Linked DNA regions of Bombyx mori. The protein of the gene in region 1 binds, or shares a complex with, the protein of each later gene. Links are inferred from orthologs where the notes say so. Each region holds a gene or a part of one and is shown in the gene's direction. Other genes may lie near its edges.

What was found. Proteins that work in one complex are often made in the same cells at the same time.
Region 2: general transcription and DNA repair factor IIH helicase subunit XPD (region 1) and DNA-directed RNA polymerase II subunit Rpb4 share a complex: the UniProt entries of both Homo sapiens proteins name them as parts of the TBP-based Pol II pre-initiation complex. The link is inferred for Bombyx mori from reciprocal best matches to the Homo sapiens genes ERCC2 and POLR2D.
Region 3: general transcription and DNA repair factor IIH helicase subunit XPD (region 1) and NIF3-like protein share a complex: the UniProt entries of both Homo sapiens proteins name them as parts of the MMXD complex. The link is inferred for Bombyx mori from reciprocal best matches to the Homo sapiens genes ERCC2 and CIAO1.

Annotation. Positions count from the first base shown.
Region 1 is NC_085127.1:13,512,695-13,518,444, forward strand, and holds part of general transcription and DNA repair factor IIH helicase subunit XPD, read left to right. Parts: intron 1-886; coding exon 887-990; intron 991-2,007; coding exon 2,008-2,106; intron 2,107-3,745; coding exon 3,746-3,833; intron 3,834-3,915; coding exon 3,916-4,007; intron 4,008-5,158; coding exon 5,159-5,335; intron 5,336-5,750. UniProt on the Homo sapiens protein: ATP-dependent 5'-3' DNA helicase. Component of the general transcription and DNA repair factor IIH (TFIIH) core complex, not absolutely essential for minimal transcription in vitro.
Region 2 is NC_085114.1:9,606,281-9,612,600, forward strand, and holds the start of DNA-directed RNA polymerase II subunit Rpb4, read left to right. Parts: upstream 1-2,462; 5' UTR 2,463-2,572; exon of another isoform or gene 2,573-2,581; intron 2,582-3,379; 5' UTR 3,380-3,746; intron 3,747-6,320. Other genes in the region: uncharacterized protein LOC119628842, read right to left, coding at 201-349, 1,310-1,468, 1,646-1,885, 2,078-2,126. UniProt on the Homo sapiens protein: Core component of RNA polymerase II (Pol II), a DNA-dependent RNA polymerase which synthesizes mRNA precursors and many functional non-coding RNAs using the four ribonucleoside triphosphates as substrates.
Region 3 is NC_085116.1:9,600,241-9,606,500, reverse strand, and holds the start of NIF3-like protein, read left to right. Parts: upstream 1-2,402; coding exon 2,403-2,530; intron 2,531-5,511; coding exon 5,512-5,643; intron 5,644-6,260. UniProt on the Homo sapiens protein: Key component of the cytosolic iron-sulfur protein assembly (CIA) complex, a multiprotein complex that mediates the incorporation of iron-sulfur cluster into extramitochondrial Fe/S proteins.

The DNA of each region.
Region 1 (5,750 bases):
TTTGATAATAGATGGCGTTGTACTTCTCGAGCGTTCTCGATTTTACTAGTTCTTATTATTTTTTATTATTATTTATTTATTTATGTACACACAAAAAAGAAGACATTAATAGTAATAGGAAAATTATGTACAAAGGCACTGCTTATTTCTTTAAGAAATCTCTTCCAGCAGACCTGCGAGAGGATTATGAGAATAATAATTAAAAAGGGATAAGTGTGTGTAGAACAGCTAAAATAACAAATACAACATGAGAATTATAGTAACGCAAATACACATAGTAAATTGTTCACGCAAATTCACATGTAATTATTACTCTGTAGAAACGAAATTGTTTATCTGTATTAGATCAGTACGAAGCCGTAATAATCTATGTTAATGTTCAGTTTTGTCATTCAACTACTCTGTTCGCTCTCTGCCCAAGCGCCCCTCACGCGAACGGACGCGTCTTCAGTACTCTTCAATCAGACTTGAATATAATTAAATGTTGTAATTCAGACAAAATACAATTGTTCATAAGAAGTCAGTGCTTTTATTACTCAGACTATCAGTACGTACGCTGCATGCGATCCAGCCGAGCCCGTCTGGTGGCCCATGAAAATCAGTAACCATGCTCATTCGACCGCCATATTCAACATAAATATTGTTAAACTTGAATACAAAATATTATAAGTAACACAGTATATACGAAGAGCATAGAACAATGATCATTCGGTTGATGAGAAATAGAATTGTTTGAACTTGTACTTAAAACAGAAACAGACTTGCAAACTCGAATGTTAGCCGGCAACGTTCTTATATTAGTTTCTGTTCTTATACTAGTTGCTGTTATTCGACGATAGATGGCATTGCTCTTGCCAGCGTAACAATAGTTTCGTGGAAATTTCAGGAACCCTCTCGCCGCTGGACATGTACCCGAAGATCCTGGACTTCAATCCGGTGATAATGAGCTCCTTCACCATGACCCTGGCCAGGCCGTGCATACTGCCCATGGTTAGTTTTGTCAGTCGGGATCCTTAGCTCATAGAACTTGCGATATATTGTAAATAGGTTAGTCGTGAGCTCTCGTGAATCACTGGATGTACTGAGGGTGGAGGAAGGGAGAATGTCCACGAGCTGCTCATCACTGTTGAAGCTGACAGAACTGATATATCAATTGATTTCACAGAGACATAAGATTACTCTTTAGTCATATCGGAAGATCTGGTTTCAAGTGTTCACCGGATCCCGTAGTCATATCATAACGTGCATAACGCTACCCACCATGAGGCTTGAGGTCAAACTCTCAATATTGTCTAACGGCGGTACGAAACCCGAAACGCGTTAGTGCATTTTTATGCGAGTTAATATACATTAATTAGATGGCGTTGCTGGGTTTATTTACTTGTCTTCATCACATTTAAATCATCAATCATCTTATTAGGTACATATTTTTACCTATCTTCTGTTTCATTCTAAACATTGAGATTGTACATGCACCATACAAAATATTTTTCACATGTTTAATAAAGCACAATCTGGTACCAGTAACAGACTACTACACATCACCAGCTAGTACCGCCCTTCAATAACAGATGGCGTTAGCATGCCTTAATTAGACGCCTTCAGCTCTAACACTAGGAGCAGACTGAGGGACCCCGGTAACCGTATTCGTCGAACTCGACAAAGAGTTCGCCGTGCAACCTAACCCATGCATCAGCCCGTCGAGTTTCTCGCCGGATCTTCTCAGCGGGTCGCGATTCCGATCCGGTAGTAGATTCATTAGCAAAGCAGCTGCTCTTGAGTTGTTAGGTCTCCTTCGGAGGCGCTCGGGCAGCTGTTAGCAAATCCTACCTCTCCTGGCTGAGCCCTTGCTCGCCCACCTGTCCTGGTGAAACCGAAAAGAGCCCGGAGGAATTTCCAGTAATCCTTTGTTCATAAAAAAATGGCGTTAGCTGTAGGTTCATACAAATATCCATGCACGTTTGCGTCCCTCTGTACCTAATAATTGTTTTTTGTTATATCTTTCAGATAGTATCGAAGGGCAGCGATCAGGTGGCCATATCGTCCAAGTACGAGACGAGAGAGGACGTCGCCGTCATAAGGAACTACGGGCAGCTGCTGGTCGAGGTACCGTTCTCGTACTGCGCCGCCGCTTATAGTCATATGGATCTTGCACATGTCCACGAAAGACTCCTGCGATATGGCGACCATGTCACTTTTTTATTGCTTAGATGTGTGGGCGAACTTAAAGCCCACTGGTATTAAGAGCCCATAGACATCTGCAACGTAAATGCTGCCACTCACCTTGAGATATGAGTTCTAAGGTCTCAGTTTTTACAGTACAAACGCACCCCGCTGAAATGAGTTCTTTATATAATTATCGTCTCAGTTTGATTGTTACTCACTTAACAACGGATGGTCACAATTACAATGCCTATAGACAGTTTCGTCTAAACATAGACGCTCGCGTACCTGTCTTTGATATTAAATTTAACCACTTCTCATCGTCTTGAGAACAATCAAAACAATAAACCTCAATCTTACCGTTGTCTTCACCTACAACAATGCCGTCCTTATAAAACGGCACACAATATCTGAATATTATTATCTGTATATTTATAGGTGAAGCAAAAACTTTGTACCCCTTTTTATGAAAATTTTGCGGAGTAGTATGAAATATCTCACACTCATAGAGAATATTGTTACGCGCTGGGGTTCGGGATAAATAAAAATTCTACGGTAGTACAAATTAGCACTTAAATCACTTTAAAATTTTCAATTTACTTCTTTCGCTTCGCTTCAGCTGATCCGTTCGCTGTTTCGCTTCGAGTAGATTCGATTAACAAACTGATCCATGTCATCACTGCCGGCGATACGACATCCCTAGAATTATTGAAAACATCCCTCACAAGTCAGGTATTTTCAATATGCGTTTCTGCTGTCTGACAACAGATGGCGTTGCACTTCTCGATCGTTCTACATTTTACTGGTTCTTTTGATATTCGTTTCTGCTGTTCGACGATAGATGGCGTTACTCTTACCGGCGTAACAATATAGAGGAGCGCACTTTTTTTTATTGCTTAGATGGGTGGATGAGCTCACAGCCCACCTGGCGTTAAGTTTAATATTATTTATCTATAGTGTAGTGTACAACTGGGAAACCATTAGTACTGTTACGCCGGTAAGAGTAACGCCATCTATCGCCGAATAGTCGAACGAATATCGAAGGATCTAGTAACATCTAGAACGCTCGAGAAGTACAACGTCATCTATTGCCAGATAACGGAAATACACAATACTAGACTTTTGTGAAATATTCTCGACGATTCTCGGGATTTCGGCTCGACTATAAAAGCGTTGCAGAGATGCCTTCAGACACAGTCCACTGAGTTTCTCGCCTGATCTTCTCAGTGGGTTACAATTCCGATTCGGCTCGCTAGCTAGGGCTCATGTTAGAAATGTTGTCAGGTTTGAGCCCCGTGAGCTCACCTACTAGTTAAGGCTACGCTGATATAGCCTCTCAAGGCTCTCAGCTTAGGTAGGAAAAAAAAACACGCAGTCAGTAATCGGAACAGCGAAAGGATCACCAGAAGCGAAGCGGAAGAAGCGAATTGAGAGTTTTAAAGCGTTTGTTAAGTGTTTTAAGTGTTCTAAGTGCTAATATAGTGTTAACTTGTAATTCGGTAGAATTTTATTTATCCCGAATCCCAGCGCGTAACGGTACTTATAAATGAGTGTTAGTAAATATATGTTCTCTCATCTACAGATGTCGGCGTGCGTGCCTGACGGCGTGGTGTGCTTCTTCACGTCGTACCTGTATCTGGAGAGCGTCGTGGGGGCCTGGTACGACCAGGGTGAGCGGAAACTCGGCCACATAAACACGATGCAGCGTGATGTCCGCGGGCCCCTCTCGTAACAAATGTAACGCGTGTGCAGGTGTAGTCGCGAGTCTGCAGCGACACAAGCTGCTGTTCATCGAGACGCAAGACTCCGCCGAGACGAGCTTCGCCCTCATCAACTACATCAAGGCAAGTGGCGCCGCCGCCCCACCAGCGGGACCCTTACATATAGAGCATCACTAGTTACTGTCAGAAATTTTAAGGATGATTAATTATACTCGTGAAGCAGTAATGCGTTCCGGTGTGAAGGGGGGGGGGGGGGGGCGTTTAACTATACTGAGACCTTAGAACTCATATCTCAAGGAGGGTTGCGCATTTACGTTGTAGATGTCTATGGGCTCCAGTAACCACTTAACACCAGGTGGGCTGTGACTTCGTCCACCCATCTAAGCAATAAAAAGGATTGTGTGTTTTATGAAACCACGCTAAAAGTGAAACTTTTTTTTTCACATTATAGACATTTAACTCTGACAAACACCATTTACATTAAACACTGACAAAAACAAACAATAGCGTGGATCACTGGCACAAATGAGTAATAGTCTATACACTACACGGTCAGCTGCTGCGAACTATAGGCGCCGCCATATTGGCCTTGGCTGCTCTGACGAGCGCCTTTCACTTTATCCCTACTCCGCGGCCGACCGTCACGCGACATGCAACACACAGACGGAAAAGTTTGAGACGATGTAATAAAAGTTTCACTTTAAAATCTAACTTTACACCAGTGTGCTTAGTGCGAGTTTTTAACGTTCTCGATAGCGTAAAAGTTAACTCGAATTTGTATGGAGTTGGAACGTTTGCGTACGTTTGCCGCTAGAGGCGCTGTTCCAACTGCATACTAAATTGGGTTAACTTTTACGCTATGTTAAAAAACTCGCACTAACCACACTGAGCCAAATATGTATTTATAACAGACTTCGTAGTGCCTCCATCGATAAATCTATATATATAAAAATGAATTGCTGTTCGTTAGTCTCGCTAAAACTCAAGAACGGCTGGACCGATTTTAGCTTTTGATCTTCAATTATTTGTGGAAGTCCAGAGAAGGCTTAAAACATAGATAAATATGAAAATGCTCGGAATGAAATAAAAATAACAATTTTGTTTTCCCTTAGATGTGTCACTTAGATTAGGATTTTGTTTATCGATTGAGGCCACTACGAAGTCTGCCCGGGTCAGCCAGTAAAAGATAAATATAAGATTTATCTACCTTTTAAACCTTATCTGGACTTCGTGCATCGTTGTATCTTGTGGTGTGAGGTGGGTGCGGTGCGCAGGCGTGCGAGTCGGGGCGCGGCGCCGTGCTGCTGTCCGTGGCCCGCGGCAAGGTGTCGGAGGGCGTGGACTTCGAGCACCACCTGGGCCGCGCCGTGCTCATGTTCGGCATCCCCTACGTGTTCACGCAGAGCCGCATCCTCAAGGCACGGCTCGACTACCTGCGGGAGAACTTCCAGGTGCGCCCTTGTTCATTGTATCGTATAAACGTTAAGAAACTATAAAAGTTATGCCAATTTTGTTGGGTGTATTTAACGCTACTGATGTTCGGAGGTCGCGTCCGAGGGCCCGTACTTACAGTCTTGTCAATCGTACGCAAATAGAGTTAACAATTAGTATTCTTAGTGCGAGTTTTTAACATCTCGATTGCGTAAAAGTTAACTCAAATTTGTATGGAGTTGGAACAGCGCCCCTATGTTTGTCGTTAGGCACACAGCTGACGTGCGGGGTTACGGAGCTTGACTACCTTCGTGTTAGATGAATTACAGCTACACGTACAGTTGTTTATATACTGAGATAGTGAACCTTCAAGTGAGACTCAAAATCCCCGAATACGTACATATTGTTACGCGCTGGGATAAATAAATGTTCCAC
Region 2 (6,320 bases), on another chromosome or scaffold:
ACTCATGTATATCAGTAAATGTTATTTTGTATTTGAAACTTCTATAGGATTATACTAAATAATTGTACAATTTACAGTACAAGATAAAAATAGTAAGTTTACACTTAGTCATAAGGCCTTTAAAGCTTTATAATTAAATTGTCTGTGACTTTTAAAACATCCAAAAATGACTTGACATAGACAATACTGACGAATGAGCATTAAATTATTTTTTTAAATGAAGAAATTCCAGCAACACCAATTTCTGCAAATAAATAAGCATTTTCTTCCATGTTCAAATATGGGTCAAATTCCCAAGAACTAACATAAACTTCAATGAGGCTTTCATCTCTACAGTGTGCTATGTTTTCTGAAAACAGAAATTATATACATTAATTATGTTTATAATTATAATTATCAGCGTCGCGCAGCGAGCTATGGAGATGGCTATGCTTGGTATTTCTCTACGGGGCCGAATCAGAAACGAGGAGATCCGTAGAAGAACCAAAGTTACTGACATAGGCCGTAGGATTAGCACACTGAAGTGGCAGTGGGCAGGCCACATAGCGCGAAGATCGGACGGCCGATGGGGCGGAAAGATCCTCGAGTGGAGACCACGTACTGGCAAGCTCAGTGTGGGACGGCCACCTACGAGATGGACCGACGACCTGGTAAGAACCGCTGGGTCACGTTGGATGCAGGTGGCAACGGACCGGCTGCACTGGAGATCACTTGGAGAGGCCTATGTTCAGCAGTGGACAATGGACAGGCTGAGATGATGATGATGATGAATTATGTTTACCTTAAATTACCAATAAGATAAAAATGTAAATTATTGAGTTATCACAGAGTTGTCAGGAAGCAGTATGTGAAATCTATTCTGTAGCAAATAAAGCCGGATATTTTCTGAAAATTATGTTTTGTATCCCAAAAATTTTCTATTAATTATTATTATTTATTTTGTTTATTAATTATTTTGGAGGCCTGCATAGAATTGAATGGTTTTAAAAAAGGGAATACTTGTCTTAGAATTCTAATGTAATCACGGGCATGTTGTTTTTATTCATTGCTTAGATGGGTGGACGAGCTCACAGCCCACCTGTTGTTAAGTGGTTACTGGAGCCCATAGACATCTACAGCGTAAATGCGCCACCCACCTCGAGATATAAGTTCTAATGCCTCAAGTATAATTAAAACAGGTTCCCCACCCTTCAAACTGAAATGCATTACTACTTCACGTCTAAAATAGGCAGGGTGGTGGTACCTACCCGTGCGGATTCACAAGAGGTCTTACCACCAGTATGTTTCAATAAATAATAATAATTTTCACCTGTCACAATTTTTTTTAGTTTGTACTCCTTTAAGAGTGATTCATATGTATTTTTAACACAAGCATGAATTCGGCCTACTGACCATGTCAAAATTACTGGCTGGTCAGTCGACTGCAATTTTGATAGTGAATCCAGTTGATTTTTTAGTATTTTTATACCTGAAATGAAACATTTAAATATGACATAGTTCAGTTTTGCATTAGAATTAGATTGATTAGAAAGTTAATGTATATTCCATTCCATTAAATTGTTTAAACTGTAACATTATTAAAAGTAGTCTCACATACTCCAATATTGTAGTTGATTGTTAGACTAACATACATCATTTTACTTACCCTCGATAATATTTTGAAAGCTATCTATAATTTCAACTAAGCCCTCAGTCAATGGCTTCAATAGGTGCGGATAATAATCATCATTATACTCGTGCAGTTTCACTGATGAGATCCCTTTACAAAACTTAGAACCTTTATCTTTTAGTTTGACCCAATCAATTAACAAACTATGAAACGAAGACACATGTGAAAATACAGTCTTTGATAAGCCTGGTTGGTCTTTATTTGGAGTTGTAATCTCTGAAATAATATCATTTATTAAATTACTTACTATTTCAATCGACATGGACAACAGAAATTTTGTTTGTTAAACTTTTTCTTCTTAATCGATGATGGGCAGACAAACTCACAGCCCACTTGATAATAAGTGATATTGATACCCAGCAACGTAACCATAATAGTTTATAAATCAAACTCTATGTAAATAATTACCTCTAGGTACAAAGTTGATAGCCAATTCTTTTATTGGAGTTTTGGACATTACGAACTTATTACTTAAATTTGAAATAAATATCTTTAGCCGAGTCTCTAAGTAGATAATAAAATTGAAGTGTTTTTGTTCTTCTTAATTTTTCAATATTGCAATTGGCTTACAGCCAGCGGTTACAAGACCTTCTAGTCCAGCTATAATATAATTTCTACGTAAAGAGCACGTAGAAATTCTAATCTGATAAATCAGAATTCATATGAAGCTAAATGAGATGAACTTAACTAATGTTAGTCTTTAAATTTGAGTGACATTATATGAAACTAGGATGTTTTATGATGCGTAAGCCGGATCGCACAAGAGGTGGGAAAAAGAAGATAGTCTGTGACACGGGACCTTTTTACCGCCGGGAGTCCGGGACTTTTTGGCGGGAACGCGAGGAGTGAAGTTGTGTGATTTGTTTTATTTTGTCGATTTAGTATTTCTTCAGGTTTAAATGTGTAATAACGGTGATTTATTAACTGTTTAATATCTGTGAAAGTTCACAAATGTGGGAAAATGCAACAAAGCCGCTGAACATAACTTCCCCGGAATCCTCCAAAAAGTCCACTGAAAAAAGGACATGGACCATACATTGCACGCCCCACTAAACGAACATCATCATCAGCTTATCTATTATTTATATTTATCGATTAAATATGTTAATATATTTTGCTAGTTTTTTGTAATACATTGTTTTCTTTAAGAAGATTTAATATGAATTATTTAAAATATAAATATATTTTACCCATGGCAGCTCCTTCAATATTATCAATGTAGCTTAATCATGCTTAAGTATTTCTTTTTATTTATGCTTTTGATTATCCCACCATTAAAATACCCTTAAATTTTATAATAAGTATGTAAAAATGAAATGTTTTTTTCTATAGATATTTTATTAATGTCCTTGAGGGCACGAGTAGCTGGGCCGAAAATGGCCCATGTCCTTTCATTAAATGACCACCATTTTACTGAGATTATATTTCATCCCATATCATCTCATCTCACTATATTTAATTTCATCTTACTTGATTATTGTCTCAAATTAATCATCTTCATTGCATTTCACTTCTTTCCATTATATAATTTTTCATAAAATTAAGAATATGAATTAAAATAAGACATGACCTAAAGGTCTTAGTTGAGCTGGACATAAAATACCCAAAAAAATTTTTTTTACCGCTGAATATTTAAAGGACGAAAAAAAAAAATGGTATAACTTAGAACTGTATAAGCCGCTGCAACAATAAAACTCCTATTGTTTCAAGTGTGGTGTTAATTACATAAAACACGATTTTCCCGCGAAATAAAGAAGGGACTTTATACGGACTCCCTCAATGGGATGAAATAAAATCGTCTCAGTAAAACAAGGATTATTAACTGAGAGTTCAGTGGACGTGACTAATGGATGCTCTGGATGAAATTTAATGAAACTAAATGGAATGAAACGTGTTAAGATGAAATAAATTAAAGATGTTCCAGTAAAATAGTGGGAATTTATTGACACTTAAGTATACTATCGAAGTAGTAGGTAGGTAGACTATCGAAGAACGTAAGATGTGCCGGGGCCACGGTAGTCAAAGTTGATCAGGTGATAATTGTGTAAGTGTGAAGGCTGGAATAGTTTCGACACAGGTAATTATTTTCATTTGAGAAGTAAGAATGGAAAATTTATCTAGTGGGTATTATTTTTCAATCATGCAACGTGGTGTTAAAATTTACATAAGCCAACTACTGTTCGCGATTTTGGAGCAATCTTTTTTCCGTGATAGTTCCCATTACAGAATCCTTTGCTAAATCGACTAATCTCCCTTTGCCTGTCCAAACTAGGGATGGTCTGTAACAGGTGAAATTAGAGACCTGTTCCACCTGTTCCTGTTCCAGCGAAAGAACAGTTCCAGTAGCCTGTTCCAATATAACAGCGTTTTGTTTTGCAACAGGTTTAATAATGTTTTAAATAGAATATGTCCACTTATAGGAACAGTTATAACATATGAAATGGTTTTAATACATTTTTTTAAATGAAAACAATCCTTCATGCTTTCTCAGGCTTAGGACTGACAACTGAATTTATTAATATTAATGATATGTGAAGCTAGTTTTGCCAAAATGTACTTAATACTTTAAATACTAACTAATATTGGCGAGGACTGCTCTCCCTCCGCGCCTCCGGTTTTTTATATACACTCTAGGGGTAGGGCAGACAAGACCAGGTGGAAAGTGATGTGCTCTGATTCGGTTTTCGATATTTTACGAATATTTTTGCAGTTTTATATCCAAAACACGAGCAATTTTACTGTTTTATATTTAAATCTTGTTTAAAAAGTTAATTTATTACAGAGACAGATTTTTTAGATGAGTGGACGAGCTCACAGCCCACCTGGTGTTAAGTGGTTACTGGAGCCCATAGACATCTACAACGTAAATGCGCCACCCATCTTGAGATATAAGTTCTAAGGTCTCAATTATAGTTACAACGGCTGCCCCACCCTTCAAACCGAAACGCATTACTGCTTCACGGCAGAAATAGGCAGGGTGGTGGTACCTACCCGTGCGGACTCACAAGAGGTCCTACCACCAGTAATTACGCAAATTATAATTTTGCGGGTTTCATTTTTATTACACGATGTTATTCCTTCACCGTGGAAATCAATCGTGAACATTTGTTGAGTACGTATTTCATTAGAAAAATTGGTACCCGCCTGCGGGATTCGAACACCGATGCATCGCTCAACACGAATGCACCGGACGTCTTATCCGTTAGGCCACGACGACTACGGGATTTTCCCGGGGATGAAATCCCGTCTTAACATTAGTACGGGTACCGCCTAAGGCGAGACTTTCGGCGCGCATCGCGGTACCGTAAGTTTCGTGTAGTCGGTGTGGTGGAGCTCGATGGGGTTTAGTCGGTAGTCGTTCTGCGGGGTAAGTGCTTCGCGCGCCTTTTTCAAGGCGTAGTCTCCTATGAGAAATTGGGGCAGGTGAAGGACCTCGGCCCTTCTCTTCTCCCCTTCTTCCTCTCAGGAGGCCAGGCCAGGAGGCGCCGGAGTCCGACATAACCCGGTCCGTTACCCCCCTCGACCGGGTAGCGTATTTCCATTTCCGTGTTCATTAGGAGGCAGTACTGCCTTGAAACACGCACGGGTTTGTCGCGCTAGCTTCCTTTACAAAATCGTGTTCAATTCAAGGCACGTGTCCTCAAATCGCGCACGGGTTTGCAACGCCAACTGCCCTTCTAAACACGTGTTCAATTCAGGGTACGCGTCCTCCAATCGCGCACGGGTTTGCAAGTATGCGCCTTGATTAAGCTCCACAAATCCGTGTTTGTTCGAAGGCACTTTTGTGTTTAATGAATAGGCAAGAAAACTCAAACAAAGTCTTTAACCTTTTATTAGGATCAAAATATATCTACACTCGGGTGCAATGAAATCGCACATCTGTACATTTTTTGAAAAATATTATTTACTTCTTTTTATTTAAAAAAATACATATATTTTTTAACATAAGGTTAAAGGATAGTTCAATACCTATTCAATGATACCACATAAGACATGATAAGTTTACCTGCCTGCTGAAACAAAACGACAACAGCAAACTCCAAAAATTGCTCCCTCAACTCACTGCAGTTTGCAAGACCAACTGCAGGTATAAAAAGGCATGTTTTGTATAAAACGTCATCCCTCCCGACTAGGCGCGTCAACACCTCCGCCCCCGCCGTTCGCCCAATCACGATGTTCGACCAGCCCATACCGTGGGCCCCGAAGGTCAAATATTTAGGCGTCACCCTCGACAGTAGGATGACATTCCGCCCCCACATCAAGACGGTACGCGACCGTGCCGCCTTCATTCTAGGACGTCTCTACCCGATGATATGTAGGCGAAGTAAAATGTCCCTTAGAAATAAGGTGACACTCTACAAAACTTGCATACGCCCCGTCATGACCTATGCAAGTGTAGTGTTCGCTCACGCGGCCCGCACTCACTTAAAGTCATTCCAAATCATTCAATCCCGTTTTTGCAGGATAGCCGTCGGAGCCCCGTGGTTCGTCAGGAACGTCGACCTCCATGACGACCTGGACTTAGAGTCCATCAGTAAGTATATACAGTCGGCGTCAATGCGCCACTTCGATAAAGCGGCACGACACGAGAACCCTCTCATCGTGGCCGCCGGTAACTACATTCCCGATCCTGCGGACAGAATGGAAAGCA
Region 3 (6,260 bases), on another chromosome or scaffold:
CCAATGGCCCTAAAGCCATTGACTTCCATTTTTTTGAAAAACCTTAAATGTCATATTTGACAAATATTCTACAGTGATTATTTCAAAAAAATTACATTTCTGAAACAATTTGTTTTCAAGAACTTCACTCTTCTCGAGTGGCAAACACGAAGTGAGTACATAACTTTACTAATTTATCTTGACTAATTTAATGAACAAAACGTATAAACAATAATACGTGTATTAAAAAATCAACATACTAACGTTTAAAATTTTCCAAAAAGATTCCACAATGACTTATTTGTATGTTTATACATAAATTAAGTGTTATAGTTCCTTAATAGCCGAATATTATGTAAATTTCCAGTTGACGTCATTATTATACAAAATAAGTAAATAGAATAAACGCTTAAAATGTTTAAACTGGAACTGATTCAAAATCTGGCCGGACACAAGGGTATAGTTTGGAATGTGTCGTGGCATCCACTTGGAAAATATTTTGCTTCTTGTGGTGAAGATAAAACTATAAAATTATGGAGTAAATATGGACAAGATTGGGCGATTAAGACTGTACTTGTCGATGGACATCAGAGAACAATTCGGGAAGTAGCCTGGTCACCCTGCGGTAATTTCCTCGCTTCAGCCAGTTTTGATGCGACTACTGCAATTTGGGATAAAAAAAGTGGTGTGTATTTTTCCCTTGTGACCCTGTGAAGAATTTGTACATCCAAAATTAAAATGAGTAACACTTTATAGGTGAATTCCAATGCAATGCAACTTTAGAAGGCCATGAAAATGAAGTTAAAAGTGTAGCATGGTCACCTTCAGGCCATCTCCTGGCTACTTGTGGAAGAGATAAGTCTGTTTGGGTGTGGGAAGTAGCTGGAGAAGATGAATACGAGTGTGAAGCTGTACTTAATGCTCACAATCAGGATGTGAAGAAAGTTAGTGCATGAATAAACAAAATTGAGTTTGTGTTTCTTACATATAATGAATGGATAAATTATATTATTTTCTTTATAGGTTGCATGGCATCCTTCTCTAGATATCTTAGCATCAGCATCTTATGATAACACAGTAAAACTGTACCAAGAAGATCCTGTAGATAATGATTGGACTTGTGTTGCCACTCTACATTCGCATGAGTCAACAGTTTGGAGTTTGGCATTTGATAAAACTGGAGAAAGACTGGCGACATGTAGTGACGATAGAACTGTAAAAATTTGGAAAGAATACAAACCTGATAATCAAGAAGGTGTTGTGGTGACTGATCGAGAGGCAGTCTGGAAATGCATATGTACACTCTCTGGATTTCACACACGATGTATTTATGATATTGCTTGGTGTCATAAAACTGACCTCATAGCTACTGCTTGTGGAGATGATATCATTAGAATATTTAAAGAGAGTGAAGATTCTGATCCTAATGCTCCCACTTTTGAACTTCTTTGTACAAAGAAAAATGCTCATTCTCAAGATGTAAACTGTGTAGCTTGGAATCCTTCAGGAAATCAAGAACTGCTTTCTTGTAGTGATGATGGAGAAATAAAAATATGGAAGTTTACAGAAGCTTAAAGTAACTAATTATTGACAGAAAGATCAAATAGAAATGATCAAAAAATCTAACAAGGAGTGATAATAATTTTATATTAAGGTTATGCCACAAGACATTAGCTGTGATTGTATCTAGCAAGATATAAATGTATTGTAAATACAGTATAAGTTTCAGTCTTTATAATAATTGTTGAAAACATGATTTAGTATTATTGTTCACGAACATAACCCAAATAACTAATAAAAAAAATAACAAAAAACATTATAACATAGATAAAATGTTTTGGTATACACTGCACTGGCTTGCTGATATAATCCATGGGCTTACATATTTTTTTTAAATATGAAAGCTTTGAAAATCTGACAATTATTATGAAATATCAACTTCTTTAGATCCAATCATTGAACTATACAAAATACCCACAGTCAGGTTTTTTTTGGTATAAGAAACGGTCTTATAATATGAATTAACAAAACACTAAAGTACTATATTATTACACAATATACCATATTAAACTATTACAAACCATATTAAAAATTAAAAGTGGCATTATAAAATTCCAATTTATAAATTAAACATCAGTTAATTGTTTTTATAATGGAGTAGTTAGTTTTAAAGATAAGGAAAAAGGAAATAAAGTTTGGATTAAAATAATGATGAAAAACAGCATTTATTATTTCACTGAATCTTTTCAAAATGCCTTTTGGTAAAATTTAATTTTTTAACAATGTTTTATTTCAAATTTATTAGTAAATTTTACATTTAAAAATTAAACTTTTTTCAGATATTACTAATGTTCTTTCAGTTAGGCAGGCACATTTTAAAGTCAAGAAATTCAAGGAATCACTTGTTCACACATTTTATCAAAATGTCAACTGAGAAATTCTGTGCAGTGTCTTTGGAAAGAGTAGTAACAGTACTTGAAAAATTTGCTCCAAAAGAATTGGCAGAGAGTTGGGATAACACTGGTTTGTTGGTGGAACCTTACACACCGAGGTATGAGCAAATTTATTCTTGACTACAAATACCCACTAGCAGTAACAAAAAAAAATGTTATTCATTTAAAATTATGTACTATTATAATAATTATATTAAGGTAGCTACTGCCTCACATAGAAACTGGTAATGACAGAGATGCTAAGCCTTACTGTGTATTGCTTTAGTCTTTAGACTTATTGTAGAGGATTACACAGAATTGGCCGTGTGGTGTCCGTGTGGTGTGGCCTCGATAAAGAATAATACCGGGCGACTAACGGGTTATCCAGAGAATGAGCGGCAACGTTCTCTGAGTATCATAACAGCATACTGCGATCGCCAACCCGCATGCCAAGCGTGGCGATTATGGAAACCCCTCCCAACATGTCTGACACAAATAAAAACCGCCCAGTCCTCGGCAGCTCCGCTATTCCTGGCTACAGTAGCGGTCAAGGTAACGGCGGGGCAGGGGGTGCTAAGAATCTCCGGCAGAGATCCGGCTACGTAAAAAACGACGATTGGACCTGGCAACATATAACGCGCGAACACTGCGGACCGATGAGAAGATTGTGGAACTCGAGGAGGAATTGAGCAGGTTACGGTGGGACATTGTGGGCTTATCTGAAGTCCGAAGAGAGGGAGAGGAAACGATAATTCTGAGGTCCGGTAACTTGTTCTATTTTCGGGAAGGTGATCATCTGTCTTAAGGTGGTGTCGGGATTATCGTCCACAAGTCCCCTATGAATAATGTGTTGTAAATCGAGAGTGTATCGACCAGAGTGGTTGTACCTTGTACTCAGAATCACCAAAAGGTATTCGTTGAAGATAATACAGGTTTACGCTCCGACTATGTAATAGGACATTTCCAGAGCCATGCATAGCTCTACAACTCACTTCACCATTGTCATGGGGGATATCAACGCCAGACTCGGTAAACGGTGCGAAGGGGAGCTGCGAGTAGGACCATTTGGATTTGGGCATCGAAATCACCAGGGAAACTTACTTGCCGATTTCATGGAGAAGAAAGAATTATTTATGATGACCTCTTCAGAAAACGGGGTCACAGGAAGTGGACCTGGATGAGCCCCAATAGCGCTATCAAAAATGAGATTGATTTTATTATGTCGCAGATTTTATTATGATGTCTCTGTGATCAATACGATTAAAACCGGAAGTGATCATCGGGTGGTAAGAGGCACAATGAACCTCAATAAACCTTGAGAGATTCCGAGTTATGAGGTCTACGCTCCGTTCAGCACCAGCTCAGATCCAAAGTTCTAGACACTTTCAGCTCGAACTTCAAAACCGCTTCGAGTGCCTAGGAGGCTCCGTGGACGATTACAATAACGGGTTTGTGAATGCTGTCCATACGATCGGTTCCAAGATTTTTGGAACCCGTCGTGCAAACAGAACCAAAAAACTCTCAGACCCTACTTTCAAACTCATGGAAGAACGTCGCGAGATGATTATGCAGTCTTGCAGAGATGTTATTTCTCCGAAACTATTTACCGCTGCGTTGGAAGACATTTTCAAAGTTCTGAACTGGAAAGGGCTAGCATAAACATCATCGGCGAGTACATAGTTCGCCGACGATATTGTGACTATGGCCGAGACCTTGGAGGACCTTAGTACAATGCTCAAAGACCTCAGTAGGGCTTCTATCCGAGTGGGCCTGAATATGAACATGGAAAAAACAAAAATTATGTTGAATGTTCATATAGCGCCCACTCCAGTAAAAATTGGAAGCTCTACGCTCGAAGTTGTTGACGAGTATATTTAACTGGGACACACTGTCCTGCTAAGTAAGTCCAACTTCGAAAAAGAGGTCAATCGTCGAATCCAGCTTGGATAGGCAGCGTTCGGAAAGCTACGTAAATCTTCTCATCACAAATACCACAGTGTCTCAAGACGAAAGTCTTTGATCAGTGTGTGTTGCTCTGAAATGTGGTTGCTCACAATGGCCCTTATGAGAAGGCTCAAGGTCACTCAAAGAGCAATGGAGAGGCTATGCTTGGAGTTTTCCTGCGAGATAAATCAGAAATGAGGAGATTCGCAGGAAAACCATGATAACCGACATAGCCCAAAGAATTGCGACGTTGAATTGGCAGTGGGCAAGGCACATTGCTCGTAGAACGGATGGCCGTTGGGGCCAGAAAGTTCTTGAGTGGCGACCGCGTACCGGAAGACGTAGCGTGGGCAAGCCTCCCGCAAGATAGAACGACGATCTATTGAGATTCGCGGGAATCTGCTGGATGCAGGCAGCGCAGGACCGGTCTTTGTGGCGAGACTTGGGGGAGCCCTGTGTCCAGTAGTGGACGTCTGTGGGCTGATAAGAAGAAGAAGACATAGAATTGATAGATAAGTCTTAAGTATTAAAGTTATGATTACCTTCATGCTTTGGGTTGAAATTGTATGTGCTTTGAAGTTTCAAATTATAAACTGTCAATTCAGCCGTATGTAGGGTATATAAAATATATAGGCTAAAGTGTCTCTTTGAATAAAGCCAATGATGACATTATTTGAGGATTACCAAACATGTTTGATTAAAACATGGGTATATAATTATTTTTCATATATAATTATATTATATTATTTCATTGAAAATTGGTTTTCTGTAATCAGCTAACCTATTCCTCGAAAACCTTTTTAATAAAAATAAATAAAATTACATGGCCAATGCCCATTGCACTTTTGCGAATCACAAGATTTAAAAAATACAGTCTATTCTCAAACACAACCAGTGTGGACTAAAAGTCACTCCCCTGTTATAGAAAGATCTATACAGAACACAAAGTGAGGATGCAACTATAATATGAGTTGATGATGTAGAAGTGGTACCAGCTAAAGTCAAATGCCTGTAAGTTCAGACATATAATCGCCAAACTTATAAAAATACTTTAAATAAATTTCCATTAGTTAATTTGACAAATTTAAATTAATTTTCTTTATGTTTTTAATTACCTATTTAAAATATAATATTTTTTTATAATTTTCAATTCCAGACAAATAACCAAAATTTTGTTAACTAACGACTTAACAGAAGATGTGGCCTTGGAAGCTGAAATTCTGGCGTGTGAGATGATTATTTCATATCATCCTCCGATATTTGCGCCTTTGAAGTCTATTGTTCAGCGGTAATTATTTATATAGTTCTAGTCACACGTCTTTGACGCTATTTATCACTTTGTCAGCATAGTATCCATATATTTTATATTATCAAATGAAAGTACAGTCAAACCTGGATAAGCGAGAGTTCAAGGGAGCACAATCTCATTCTCGCTTATAGAGGTTTCTCACTAACCCGAGTTTCTCGCTAATGCTCCCTCTGAATTTCGATTCGCGATTTTCCGCATTCAAATGCATTCACTATTTTAAGTTTATGACTTTAATGACAGTACTTTAATTTTCCGTTTTTACATGATGCAGAACAGAACTTTCCTTCGCAATTGATTAACGATAATCTGAGTAAGTCCGACAAACAGGACGGTACACAGGCACACGTGTCCATTCGAAAATAATGCGATAAAAGAATACGATAAAATAACAACGTTATTTAGTTTCACGAAATAGAATAGGTTCAATATTCACGAGAAAACAATACAAAAACAATGATAATAAGTTCCACGAAAGTTAAAAATGAGTCATAAAATAGCAAATGTTAAATTTGTAATTTGTTTTGTCATTTGTTCTTCCTAAATAATATAAATAAATAAATAAAGCTCGGCTGTCGCTTATAGAGGTATAGATAGGT